Saccharomyces cerevisiae S288C: one gene and its partner. Changing the gene in region 1 together with any one later gene gives a genetic interaction. Each region holds a gene or a part of one and is shown in the gene's direction. Other genes may lie near its edges.

Region 1 (8,728 bases):
GACCTTTCCCATAATGATCGGGCGAAAATAGACCAATTTTTGTCACCGTTTTGATATAATATTCTAGAAAGCAAAGCAGTAAGTTCTTCTTCCACAAGAGGATCCTTGGCCGGAGTTGTGTTCTTTATGGTGTAAAGACGTAACAGCAACTGGATGTTGTCGTAATCAGATAGGGTAGGTTGATCGTTAGGGTTCAAATCCAGCAACAACTTTGGAATATTTTCTTGACGTAGTGCCAATGGCAATAGTTTATCTTCTTCATAACCTTCATTTAGGTCTACCTTTTGTCTTTTACTATAAATTTGCTCGTCTAGAGGTTCATCAGCAATGGACTCAAAATGAGGCTTCTCCAATAATAGATCGGACTCTAAAGCAAATGTTTCTGGTGTAGCAGATGTCGTTCTCAAAGCAAAATTTTGAAATGTGAAGGATTTGGCAAGAATGATCAAACCGGCATGAGCCTTTTGCTGATATTTAGTTCTAGTAGCGCGTGCACCCGTCATTACAAATTCAAAATTTGTTATCTTTTTCGCTCTGGTCAAGGATGGCAGGCACAAATGTTCTGTGTTGATGGCCAATGAACATTTGACATTCTCTAGATAGTACATTGCACAAAGTTCTCTTTTGAAATCTTCGTGAATACTCTCCGGTAATTCCTTAGTTATCGCATATGCAAGGTCAGCAGACTGATATATTGCAGATGCAACACTAGCTTGGAACCCAGAAGGTTCTGGAATCAGTGACAATTGCGTCAAAAGAGCTCTTGCCCACCACCAATAAGCTACAGCTAATAATCCAGGAGTAGACTCAGCAGAGATAATAGGTAGCGGAATTTCTTGATCCGGGGTAACATCAAATAAGCTTTTTTGGCCGGTTATCCTTTCAAGTAATAATAGTGATAAAACCAAATACAATGGATCATCCATAAATTCGTAGGCAGGCTGGCCCATAATGGCTAATGAGCGGGAAAGGGCTGTATTAACTGCTCCTATTTCAATTCCAGTTTTGCCAAACAAACCTGAGATTGCTTTCAACCTAGCTGCTGGGCCGGTGTAGTTATTTTGAATAAAGGTCTGTAAGAGGGCAATAGCCAAAAATAGCATCTCATTTTCTTGGCCCATTTTGAAAACCTCAACGTTAAGAAAGTCATTTAGAGCAGCAATAACACTAGATGTGGATATTTCTCCCGAAATACTAATTTTTCCCTTAAATTTGTCCACAAATTGCTGTACTAGCTGGTATGATTCACCACTGATGATATGTTCAGCCTTTTTCACATATGTCTGGTCGAAAGAACCACTTTTCAGAGATTCTACTTCTGCAGACAGCAATAATTTTGCATGCAATAACGTCTCCATAATTTTGCAACCACTAGTTTACTTTTTGCCTGGTCTGATAGCTTCTTTTTAGCAATTCCTTTGGCCTCGATGAGCTTCCATTTTCAATTTTCATCTTTTTTTTCACGATGCGAAGTTTCTTAGATAATTATCGCCATATACGAAACGCGTTAGGAAACGCGTTCTTTCCTTTATAATAAGCAATATTATATCAACTTAAGGTGGAAGTAATGTGGCAAAATCGATAGCGACTATCTAGAACAGGCTAGTTTAAGCATATACATAATGGCAAGTATGTATTAGTGCTAGGAATTGGAGGATTTGCTCTTTTCTGCATCATTTTTTTTATTTTTATTGGCGAATGTTAAAATTACTAACAATGGATGGGATTCCAATACAGCCTATCAACCATATAACGAATATTCATCAGTAACGGGCGGTGGCTTTGAGAACTCTGAGTCCCGCCCAGGTAGTGGGGAGTCGGAAACTAACACTAGAGTTAACACCTTGACACCTGTGACGATCAAACAAATTCTAGAGTCCAAACAGGATATTCAGGACGGCCCCTTCGTTTCGCATAACCAAGAACTTCATCACGTTTGTTTTGTAGGTGTGGTGAGAAACATTACAGACCATACTGCAAATATTTTTTTAACTATTGAGGATGGAACTGGTCAAATAGAAGTGAGAAAATGGAGCGAAGATGCAAATGACTTGGCTGCCGGTAACGATGACTCTTCTGGTAAAGGTTATGGTTCGCAAGTCGCCCAACAATTTGAAATTGGCGGTTACGTAAAAGTTTTTGGTGCTTTGAAAGAGTTTGGTGGTAAGAAAAATATACAGTATGCGGTGATTAAGCCCATAGATTCATTCAATGAAGTGTTGACGCATCACTTGGAAGTCATCAAATGTCATTCCATAGCCAGTGGAATGATGAAACAACCTTTGGAGAGTGCATCCAACAACAATGGGCAATCATTATTTGTCAAGGATGATAACGATACATCTTCCGGCTCCAGTCCGTTACAAAGAATTCTAGAATTTTGTAAGAAGCAATGTGAGGGCAAAGACGCTAATTCATTCGCTGTTCCCATTCCATTGATCTCGCAATCCTTGAATTTGGATGAAACTACCGTCAGAAACTGCTGTACGACCTTGACTGACCAGGGTTTTATCTACCCAACTTTTGATGACAATAACTTCTTTGCCCTATGAAAATATATAGATTATTTTTTTAGCATTTCTTAGTATTCGTTTGTGTATTTCTACTAGGTAAGTACCAAAATTTGCCGGAAATAGAGTGGAAAATGGAACCCGTTCCAAGAAGGGGTAAGATGCATGAATATTAAGTTGGTTGCATAAATATGCTATATAAAGTCCACTACAAAAAGTCATTTATTTTTGCCCGTAAGAATAAAGAACGAATCCGTCCTTATCTCTGACTTCAATGGGAACATTTACACGCAGTACGGGCTTCAATAATAGTTCCCAGTCGTATCTGGTTCTAGGTGTACATAATGAAAAATGTCTCAGCATTCTTATTTTGACAGCTTTGAATTTTGACAAATTTCTCAGGAAACACCAGAGGTTAATATTTGGAATATCTTTAAAATTCTCTGGATCTTGGAAATCATTGAAAAAATTTTCCAATGTCACATTTTGTAAGAACTCCTCCACATCTAAATCTCTATATTCGATGGTTCGGTTCTTCAATTTGATTAAACTATCTCTTAGGCAACGCCTTACAGAGTTGTTCCAATAGTAAGTGTGGTGAATGTCTGATTCAGGGCTCATTACTGTACTTAAATTTGGAACTGCATTAGCATTTGGTATGTTATCTCTTATGGAATTATTTTCGTAACCGATTAATGTTTCTTGATCGTTCTCGTCGCCAACATCCTCATCTGTCTCATCAACACTAGTAATTGTTCTTGCTAGATGTTCCCAAAACGATAGAGGGGATAAAGGATACACATTGGTAAAGGGGATATTGATTACGTTAATAGAAATATTTTTACTTGGAAGTCTCTCCCAAAGTAAGCGGTAATAATGGTAGAAAGAATGAAATTCAGGGATTCTTTGTCGTTGAAAATTTTGTAGCTGTGCCGCAGTTAACATGGCGGGCTTTTTGTTATTGTCTGGTGATGGGTTATTTGAAACATCATTTCCTGTAGTTCTAGAAATATAGTTCAGATTTAAGGACAATACAACTGAAGATGTCGGCGGAGGAGTAATTATCTTCGAATCTGATGGCGCTTCAAATAATGTTTCTGTCATGGAATTGCAGTCATCAAAATCATCTTCTGTATCCAAACTTCGCTGTTGGAAATAATATGATTCGCCGACTACCTGTTCGTTAGTGAAACATTTGCTATTACAATCAATTGTTAGATTGGATAACGATGGGAAACAACTGCATAACAATAAGTCGAATTTACTGTTAATCTTCAGTAAGGATAGATGTTTGACCATTTTAAAGTAAGAGTGAAACAAACGTAATATTCCATTTCCAGGAACTACATCACATGAATCTAAAGTAAGTGCAGTGATAGGAGACTGTAAACTGTACAGTTCATTATCTTCGTTCTTTAGAAATAGTGGTAAGAATTCCATTGGAGTATCTAGCGATTCGGTGTCTATCGTTACATTTTCTAGTTTAAGTTCATTAATTATGCCGAAACAGCAGAATAAACTCGGTCTTAGTACGAGCTTTTGGTGATGGCGTTGACGATTAAAGGTTCTTTGTCTTTTATTATTAGCTTTGATTTCCAGTATTTTCAACCTTGGCAGAGAATAATACTTGGATTCGTATTCTTTGACAAATTTTTTGGATAGTTGGAAAGTCCTCAAATCTTCGTTTGTGATGGATTGCTGGCCCTTGATTATTTTCTTGAAAAAATCTCTAGATCCATCGTTGAATACAGAGTACCATAAAGGAATTTTAAAATTCGGTTCCACATCACTCAGAATCACTCTGGTCAGGTTCGGTAGATAGTCTATAATATCAAGCATTAGCTCAATATAAGTATAATGGAAGTAGTTGCTTTCCAATTTATCAAGCAGTTTGATTCGTTCTGAAGTTATGATGGGAGTCTCATCGTTTAGTCTGATGTTATTCAGTTTTTTTACGTCTTTATCATACGAATCGAGTTTATAAGATCCAGCAATAATAGAATCTTGGCCACTCTTATTATAGAACTTACTGTATTTTAACAACGAGTCTTGGGACTGAGGATTTTTGAATTCGATGGATCTTACGAGGAACCTTGCATTTTGTGATCTAGATTGTGTGCTACAATCACCGCTGTGTGTGACAATGTTCGACGTGTGGAACTCGGAGTGTATCAAAGCATTGAACTTTAACAACGAAAGTTTTGAGTCCAAAATAACGTTTTGGAAAAGGAACTCATTCGTAATCAAATTGTAGAACCTCGAATTGACTTGGCATAGTGTTACTAATGTATTGAAGTCCAAAGTTCGCAGTATTAACAGTAGAACTTTTGTTGGCAAACACATGAGGGACGATTTATCGTTGAAGCGTAGTGATCTCGATTTGATATCATGGCTCGTACTATGTAGAAGGCTTTTGGCATCAGCACAGCCCTCTTCCTCTTCTTCTTCCTCCTTCGCAGCACTGGAGACCAGCGAGAAATATTTTGATCTACCAAACAATTGCAACCGTTTCATGATTCGGTTGGTTTGAACGTTTGAAAATGCGGTTCAACTTTTCATATCTAGCAGTGGCTCATCTTTATGTACTCTAGTCCTAAATCTTCTGCTGGTTATCGCAAAAAAATATGTGATGTGCGGGTTTTTGGCAGTAATCATGACTCAGTCTCTGGAAAAACGTGCTATTTAACGGTTATATATCTATCTATGTACATGCCTGTGCATGAGCTCTTCATTCATTTCTGGGAAGGGTGAGGGAGCTGGGATGCATTTTCTGAGTTGTTCTTGGCATATTTTCCCAGGACGTCCTTTAGCGAATCTGGGATGTCTTCAAACTCCAAGTCGCCCACGTCTTGGCTAACTTGTTCTCCGTTAGCTTTCATTAACTGTTCCACGGTAACATGATGATCATGGAATATTTTCAGATGGTCTGCTATCAAATGTCTCACTTTGCAGTGCGGACAAGAGATCAAGACAGTACCTTTCTCGTACGCCTGCTTGGACATTGTGTGTGAAGATCGGGTGTTACATTTCTTGCAGGTGAAAGCTATCATCATCTTAGGCTTGTCTACCTTAAAAGACCCCAAATGAACCTTCTTATCGTCCTTTTTCACTTCATTATGTGCGATGATATTGGTATGCAACGCTGCTGCGGGTAGAGTACGGCACACGTTGTAGCGTACGCGAGGCGCCCAACATCTGGCAAAGTACCTGGTAATTGGTATTTTACTTTGCAGTAGTGTTCTAGTCCTCGGAATCATGTTCAGTCTCTTGATATTCCAGTTGCACCGGTGCTGCTTTAGTATCGCTGATCCCTTGAAGCCAACATGACGCTCTTTCACCTTTCCTCTCATAATTTTGATATCACGCGAAAATGCAAGAAAAAAAAATTACAATTATGAAGTGCAGAAGGAACCAAAAATATCATCGAAAGAAGGAGTACGTAGAGCGTTACTATTTTCAATCAGTGTTCCCATTGTGCATACAAGAAATGTCTCAACCCCAGATGTCCCCTGAAAAAGAGCAAGAATTGGCCTCCAAGATTTTGCATAGAGCTGAGTTGGCTCAGATGACGCGTCAATTAAAGCTTGGTTTAAGTAATGTCCCATCAACAAAACGAAAACAGGACTCTACAACAAAGAAAAGAAGCGGAGAGGATGCCGAAGATGTTGATGAGGACCACAAAACTCTTTTGGAAGCCATATCGCCTGCGAAAAAGCCTCTCCACGATGATACAAATAAAATGACTGTTATATCGCCCGTAAAATTTGTAGAGAAGCCAAATACTCCCCCAAGTTCACGCCAACGAAAAGCCGAAGACCGCTCACAGCAGATCAAGCCTAGGAAGGAGGACACTCCATCTACTCCGAGGGCTTCTGCTACACCTATAATCTTACCACACGCTTCGTCACACTACCAGCGCCCCCATGATAAGAATTTCATGACGCCAAAACGTAATAATAACAACAGCAGTAACCATAGCAATAACAATAATAATATCAAGAAGAAGGCAGCAGGCTCTAAGGATGCTCCACAGGACAGCGACAACACTGCGGGCGCTGATCTCTTAATGTATTTAGCCACAAGTCCATATAATAAGTCATCACATCATGGAACACCGATGGCCGTAAGGATGCCCACTACTCCACGCTCTTATCATTACGCGTCGCAATTGAGTTTGAACGGTAATACAGCAAGCACATCAAACGATGCAGTAAGATTCTCTCATATCAAACCTTCAGCGTCTTCTCCGCAGTCCACTTTCAAATCTAATCTGTTACCGAATTTTCCGGACGAATCTCTCATGGATTCTCCATCACTATACTTGAGCAATAATAACGGTAGTGTCCAGGCGACACTATCGCCACAGCAGAGAAGAAAGCCCACCACAAACACATTGCATCCACCTAGTAACGTACCTACCACGCCTTCAAGAGAATTGAACGGTACCAATTTTAACTTACTCAGGACGCCCAACTTCAACATGGGAGACTATCTGCATAATCTTTTCAGCCCTTCACCAAGGGTCCCCGCCCAGCAGGGAGCGTCAAACACGTCAGCTTCAATTCCTTCTGTTCCAGCGATGGTGCCCGGATCATCTTCCAACACTTCTGCGATAGCAACAGCTGCTATATCAAGCCACACCACAAACAATTTTCTAGATATGAACGCAAACGGGATCCCGCTCATTGTAGGACCCGGCACCGACCGTATAGGCGAAGGGGAGTCCATTGATGACAAACTCACTGATTGATCGTTGACGGCCATATCAGTTGATGATTCCATACTTCCTGAAATGGACCACTCAAAGGGACAAAAATGACAAATGTTGAAATTATAAAATTACATATTAATACGTAAAATGACATTCTTTTTTAGGGAAATTCGGAGATAGATTATCACTATGTAAGCTTATGTATCGTAATATACAGGGCCGATATTTCACCTAGTTTACTTTTTCTGGTGGCCTTTATGTTTATGACTGTGCCCCCTCTTGTGTTTGCTTTTAGAGGCTTTCTCTACAGGTATCAGTATGGTGTCCTCATCCTTCTCCCCTGCCTCTGCTTCGACTGGAGCTAACCCATTTTCGTTCTTAAAAGTTTTCTTCCTCCACTCTCTTAATCTTCTTGCCTTCATCACTTTCCTTTTATCCTTCGCTCTTAGTTCCTTGGAACGATAAGGTGCAAATTTCTTCAAACCAATAAATTCATTTAAATCAGTATCATCGGCGGCGAAAATCTCTCTTGCGGTCAAACCGAAACTCTCAGGAGAAACTTCACGGTAACGAAACTTCAAATCTTGCTCCTCTTTTGTACGGCTTCTACTCTTTCTTTCTTCTTCTTCTTTTTCAACCTCCTCTATTAGTGCTAGTTTGTTTTGTTCCAAAGCATTTTCCACTAATTCATTTACCTTTCTCTTTTCTTTCTTCTTTTGCAGTTTCTCTTCTTTCTTGCTCTTCTTTCTTTTTGGACCTTCTTCCTCGTCTTCTTCTTTTTGTTCTTTTTCCACTTCACCTTCTTCTGTTTGGTCATCACCATCGGCGTCTGCATAAAAGTCACCCATTATTTCGTCATCCTCGTTCCAGGTAGGCTTTCCCTCTTGTTGATAAAATTCTTCATTAAATAATTCAGCTACCACGTTATCCCACTCTTCTTCTTTGAAATCGTTCTTCAATAGGGTGTCAGTGATTTTTTTCACCATGTCGGCATTAATTTCAGCACCATATTCCTTTGTTAGTTGCTCTAAAATGTCAGTCAATTTATTCAATTTTTTAGTCTTCTTTTTCTGAAGAGCTGTCTCCTTCTCTGCTTTTATTTGCTCTTTAATTTTTCTTTTTTCCTCTCTTTTTCTTCTGCGTGAAGAGTCATCGGATCTTCTTAGTGTAGCTTGACTACGTGCATAAGATATAATTTCAGCTGCGTTTGGGTCCTCGTACCTAAAATTGTAGGCATTCTCAAATTTTTCTGCAGCATCTTCAAATTCTTCATCGTCCTCTTCATTATTGTTGAGGTCAAGAGAAATCACCTTGTCCCCCTTCTTAGGAATCCAGGCCTGTTGATTCACAAATTCTTCCAAGAAATTTTCTTCATTTACGGTTGGATCCGGTAAATTTTTTCCTTCCTTCTTCGTAGAAGGTTCCTTTTTCTTCAAAAACCCATCGTCTTCATCTCCGCTAGACTCTTCATTTTCTTCATCGCTAAAGGCACTCTTGATTTCATTTA
Region 2 (5,291 bases), on another chromosome or scaffold:
GGTCCCGAAACTGGAATATAGATAACCTTACCCAAACAGTCGTTACTATCTAGAAATGGTTTGATGCACTTCAGAGAATCCCTCAAATAACGCCTTCTTGAAATTTCCTTAATAGCTGGTTTCCATTTAATATCATCCGTTCCGTAAGGTATATTGGAGAAGCAACTTAGAGTAGAAGATGCTCGCCTTCGATTTCTTATTCGTTCTTCAATTAAACATGAATAATCACTTTCACTGCCATAAGCATAACCAATATTACTGTCATCAGTATCATCATTAGTATCATCGCCAGCATATTCATCGGTTTCACCGTCATTTTCGTCCTCATCGGTCTCAGTAGCGCTTTCATCGTCATTGATTTCAGCGTCACGGTTTGTGAGACATAACGACCTACTGCTTTGGGATAAATCTGTGGCGGATTCCCCATTAGGAGCTAATCCTGATAGGTATATCGAAGAGCTTTGAGGTTTAGGTCTAATAGATGCCTCATCCCTTTCATTGGCTACCAAATTCGACGCAACACTCCGTAATTCCTCTTTCATAACCGCATTTTGTGATTGCAGCATAATCTCGCAGCCATCAACGGAAAGATGCTCAATAGGAGAGGGTGAATGAACTGATTCACCCACTGTGCTATTTGGAAATTTGATGGGGACAACCTCCTCGCTAATTGCACGCCTCAATGACTGTCTTTGGGGCATGGAAATAGCTCTATTTCTGTGCATTGGACGCTCTACTTTAATGGTGGTATTTACTGGAACACCAGGCTCTGGATGATCTCCCCCGCTTGATTCATGGTGTTCATCATCTTCTTCCGTTTCAATAACACTATTTAAGTTACTTGAGTTGGACCTGAGTCTGTGAAGCTTTTCTGTGCGTGAAGAATTTTTAGGCCTGAAAAAGTTCTTAATTTTAAATTTTAAACTTCTAGATGCAATCGAACGGGAAGCTGAGCAACCAGATAATGACCTTGTTGATCCCAGGGTACTGTTATCACTGGATTCTCCTGATGCAGCCGAAGATATCAATGCCTCTGTAGGCGTCTTTGAGAGGCCAGTGCAGTAATGATCTAGTAGACCAGCTGTGAAAGTATTCGAGCGTTCCCTGATAGTTGTATTGTTATTAGTGCTAGACCCGGTACTATATCTTTGGATTAAGTCCGGTCTGGAATTCGAACGAATGAATCTCTGCGAAAAAGACCCCATCGAACTCTCACTTCTATGAGTGTGTCTTCTTCTCCTCCTTCTCCTCCTTCTCCTTCTCCTTCTTCTGGGAACAATTCGATAATCTGGATACTCCCTGACTTCCAAGTCCAAAGACACAGATATCCCGATTGATAGGTACATAGACCAGTCAATCATATCATCTATATGAGAGAACCGTAATAAAAACTGTTCGCTTTCACAAGACATTCTTAACACAAAACTCTTCTTGGTATAATCCGTTGGTATCCCAAATCTTGCATTTTGTAAAGTGAAAGACTTGTAAAGAGCTTCATCGGTTAAATACCGCGATCGATCACGTTTCACTCTATAAGAGATCCGTTCTTGATCTGCTTTTTTAAACTCCGAAGCTGATCTCGTCGGTAGAGTGAAGAGACGGTGATGCAGATGTTGTGATTGATCACTGCGATGGACCAAGTCACTATGAATTCTATCCTCTTTTTCAGATTTTGTTTCCCCGCTTGAATAATTCCTAATGTGTTTCGTCAAAGATTCGTCAATATGGTAAAAATTTAGTTGAGTCGAATTAATTTCAATGATGAAATTCCTCCAGCTCCTGTTACTAGAAATTTCATAAGGTGAAAGCCTTTCCAATTTTAAGGATATCAACGTCAATTCATATACTGCAGGTGCATACAAAGGAGGGAGAGAAGACTTTGGGCATGGTGCCGTGTCACCAAATATAGGAAAGCGGACCTCTTTATTGGGATTTACTAGATCATAGCTCGGTGGATAAGCAGGGAGGGGATCTATATGCTCGTAAAGATCTTGCTTGATGAAGAGAGCAGCGTGAGAAGAGGACGAAGCTGCAGTTTCCTTGATAATATTTATCTGACCAGAAACACCTTCCCGAGGAAGTTGACGCATGGTCTCTAAACATATAGAGCTGCTGTTATTGCTTGAAGTAATGAGAACCTCGTCCATTGAGCATGTTGATGAAGACGAGGGTGATTTTAACCTTTCGATCCTATTATTTGCCATGGATAATTTGCCCTCTATTGGCAGAGCCATCCTTAACAAACGAACAACTTGTATGCACGATGTCGGATCAAAAATATACTGTGGCCCCAAGAAACAACGATTTCTTTTGTGCTGGTCAACAAAATTGTAATCTTTTCGGTGGACCCTATTATGAAACTTTTCTCTTTTTTTTTTTTCTTACTGTAAGACAGTTAGATGCACCCACCTCACTGAAGCTTGATGATTACGACTAAATTAAAAACGCGGATATACAACTAAGGACTTACAATGTTGATCTCCTGAGTATTGTTAATGTCCAAAATGACCGAACAACAGCGGATAACGATATATATCCTTCTTGCAATTATAAAGAATCGTAAGATAACTCCGTCAACGATGATGTGGAAATTATGACCCTCTTGGAGGCTTAATCACTAAAAAGGAGATGAAGCCTTCAAGTCACATCAAAATAATCGAAGCCAACACCAAAGAATTTTACAGATTGGTTCTGCTCATGTTAGGGGGTGTATGAGCAGATAATCCAAGTTAAAATAATTTTTTGGAGAATATAGAAGAAAATATATAAGGTTTTGCTTTTTCTAGATTTTATATAGGATAGGGTATTACTAACTTGTAATATAATGTATACCGTGGTATCCATTATATCTCTGGGTCTAGTAGGAAGTCACAAAAGTACTTTAAAGCAGCATAAGTTTCCTTTCCAACTGGCTTGATGTTTTCTGGAGGCAATAAAAATCCATGGTTCCCTGTATCCCGTAATTTCAACTGGAATGCCCAATGTGCTCTGTGGTGGTACATGAAGTCCAACGCAGAACCTGCACCGAGGCCGGGGAATATGTCGGAACCACGGTCCTTACATGCGGAGATTACGTCGTAGTTTCTACCTGATTTTGAACGGATGGCCTTGGATAAGCCATATGATAACTCCAACAAATTTTCTAAGTCTCTGGGCAAGGCATCACACGAGTATGCGTAGGGATATAAAATCTCCTGTGAATACGAATGCATGTCAATGTAGCCATAAATTTTGTAATCGCCCTTGGTTTCATTAATATACTTGTACCAAGCAGATGCTTCCCAAGCTTCGAAGGGCGTTTCCCCACTATACTCTTCGCTGCAAGCGTGGGTGTGTGCCTTTTCCCACTGGAAACCAAAGGAATGATCAATGTCGATACCAAGACATTGAGGAACATGAGTCCTTTGACGATTCTTACGCCATAGTCTGTCATGCGACCACGTATATGCGTATCCGTCTGGATTGAACACAGGTATGACTAAAAAGTCCAAATCGTCCAGGTATTTGGTTTCCTTCTTAGACGAACCATATCGATTTAACAACTGATAAAGTGCCCAACAGACGGTACTGACACTGATCCACTCTCTGGCATGTATACCACCTGTGATAACAATAGTCTTCTTTTCCGGGTTTGATTCTGGCTTGTTTCCGGATATATGCAGAGCTTTTAGCTCTCTGCCTTCAAATGTCCTGCCCAAGTGTTCCACTGCAACCAAACTGGGAAAGCTTCTTTCTAGAAGATCCAACCACATATAAATAGTATCCAGGTCCCTGTATTCGTTAAAGAAGAAATCGTAATCATTTTCAAAAACAGCCTGCTCACGTGCCATCATCTGACTTGTAGGCAATGTATTTTGTATCAATTCATTCATGTTATCTATGATCACCTGCCCATCATTTATCTGCTCACCTATTTCTTTAGGCAACTTAATATCAATGAAATTATTGCTTCTCGTCCATACATCATAATCATCTGTCAGCGGTGCGATCACATCTCTTACCAGGGTAGAATAGTTGTCTGAAGTAAACCTGTAAACAGCGTATTCACTGTAATCCTCTTGGAGACCCTGCACAGCACCTGTCACGGCTAGTAAAACGAAAAGAAAACAACCCCACAACGAATTCATGTGCAACATGATATAACTTAACACTCTGGTTTGTTTATATAGTGTTAACTTGGTCTTTTAAACCGTCGAAAATATTTTATCCTTCCTTCCATTTAGTTGGAACCATTTTCTAGTTCTTCGTAAAATCCGCAGTCAGCGCAGGAGAAAATAGAACGAGACAAATGATCTTTTAAATTACAGGTTATCGCGGGAGAATATTGGGGTTCAGAAATACAACACATATAAACAAAAATACGTACCAAAGAAGTGTTATAAAAGTGATATAACTATGTCAGAGGATCTTTCACCTACAAGCAGCAGGGTGGATTTGAGCAATCCTCATGGGTTTACCAAAGAGGGAGTGGATTTATCGAAGCTGTCACCACAAGAACTAAAATTGTATAAAATGTATGGGAAGCTTCCATCCAAAAAAGATCTGTTAAGACATAAGATGCAGGATCGTCAATATTTTGACAGCGGAGATTATGCATTGAAAAAGGCCGGAGTCATTAAGTCGGATGACGTTATCGTGAATAATTCTAGTAATAATCTACCAGTGACCAATCCTAGCGGTTTAAGAGAGTCTATTATTAGAAGACGTATGAGTAGTAGTAGTGGTGGCGATTCTATCTCGAGACAAGGAAGTATCTCAAGTGGACCTCCACCAAGATCTCCAAATAAATGACTAATGAAGGAATGATATTATGTGGTATTACTTTTTTTTTATCATCACTAGCTTCGGCTAAGCCCTTGCATTTTCAATATTCAATTACCAAATAATATATATATATATATATATATATGTATGTATGGTATACCTTGTGTTACTGATGTGTTTTTTGTTGACGTCATCCTTTTGATTTACTCACATGCTTAGTAAATGAAGGTTGTTGAGGCCTAAAAATCAGCTAAGATTTACACATCGATACTAATCATTGAACGCCCCTATGGGAACACTTAATTGAATAAATATCTGCCCAACTTGCTGAACATCAAAAACCCAAAAAAATAGAAATCTATAAAATACAACGCCAGTGACAACTGCGAGAAACATTGTGAGCAAGTGAACGCACTAAGGGCACCAATTACTAGACCTGGGAAAAAAACGGTTAAAGTGCCATCAAAGAACAACCACAGAACAATGTTTAATAAGCTCCATGCACCAGCTGCCTGCAAAGAGGAGGA

What was found. Genes that interact genetically often act in the same process or in processes that back each other up.
Region 2: of STB1 (region 1) and IGO2, changing one suppresses a phenotype caused by changing the other (phenotypic suppression), as found in Saccharomyces cerevisiae (one study listed by BioGRID).

Annotation. Positions count from the first base shown.
Region 1 is NC_001146.8:46,665-55,392, forward strand, and holds STB1 (Stb1p), read left to right. Parts: upstream 1-5,997; coding exon 5,998-7,260; downstream 7,261-8,728. Other genes in the region: tetratricopeptide repeat-containing protein EMW1, read right to left, coding at 1-1,358; RFA2 (Rfa2p), read left to right, coding at 1,623-1,629, 1,738-2,552; putative SCF ubiquitin ligase complex subunit SKP2, read right to left, coding at 2,733-5,024; ZIM17 (Zim17p), read right to left, coding at 5,243-5,767; KRI1 (Kri1p), read right to left, coding at 7,458-8,728. UniProt on the Saccharomyces cerevisiae protein: Involved in the regulation and timing of MBF-dependent transcription in late G1 of the cell cycle.
Region 2 is NC_001140.6:365,659-370,949, forward strand, and holds IGO2 (phosphatase regulator), read left to right. Parts: upstream 1-4,395; coding exon 4,396-4,791; downstream 4,792-5,291. Other genes in the region: YHR131C (uncharacterized protein), read right to left, coding at 1-2,234; ECM14 (putative metallocarboxypeptidase), read right to left, coding at 2,844-4,136; NSG1 (Nsg1p), read right to left, coding at 5,064-5,291. UniProt on the Saccharomyces cerevisiae protein: Required for TORC1 to properly control gene expression and chronological life span. Plays an essential role in initiation of the G0 program by preventing the degradation of specific nutrient-regulated mRNAs via the 5'-3' mRNA decay pathway.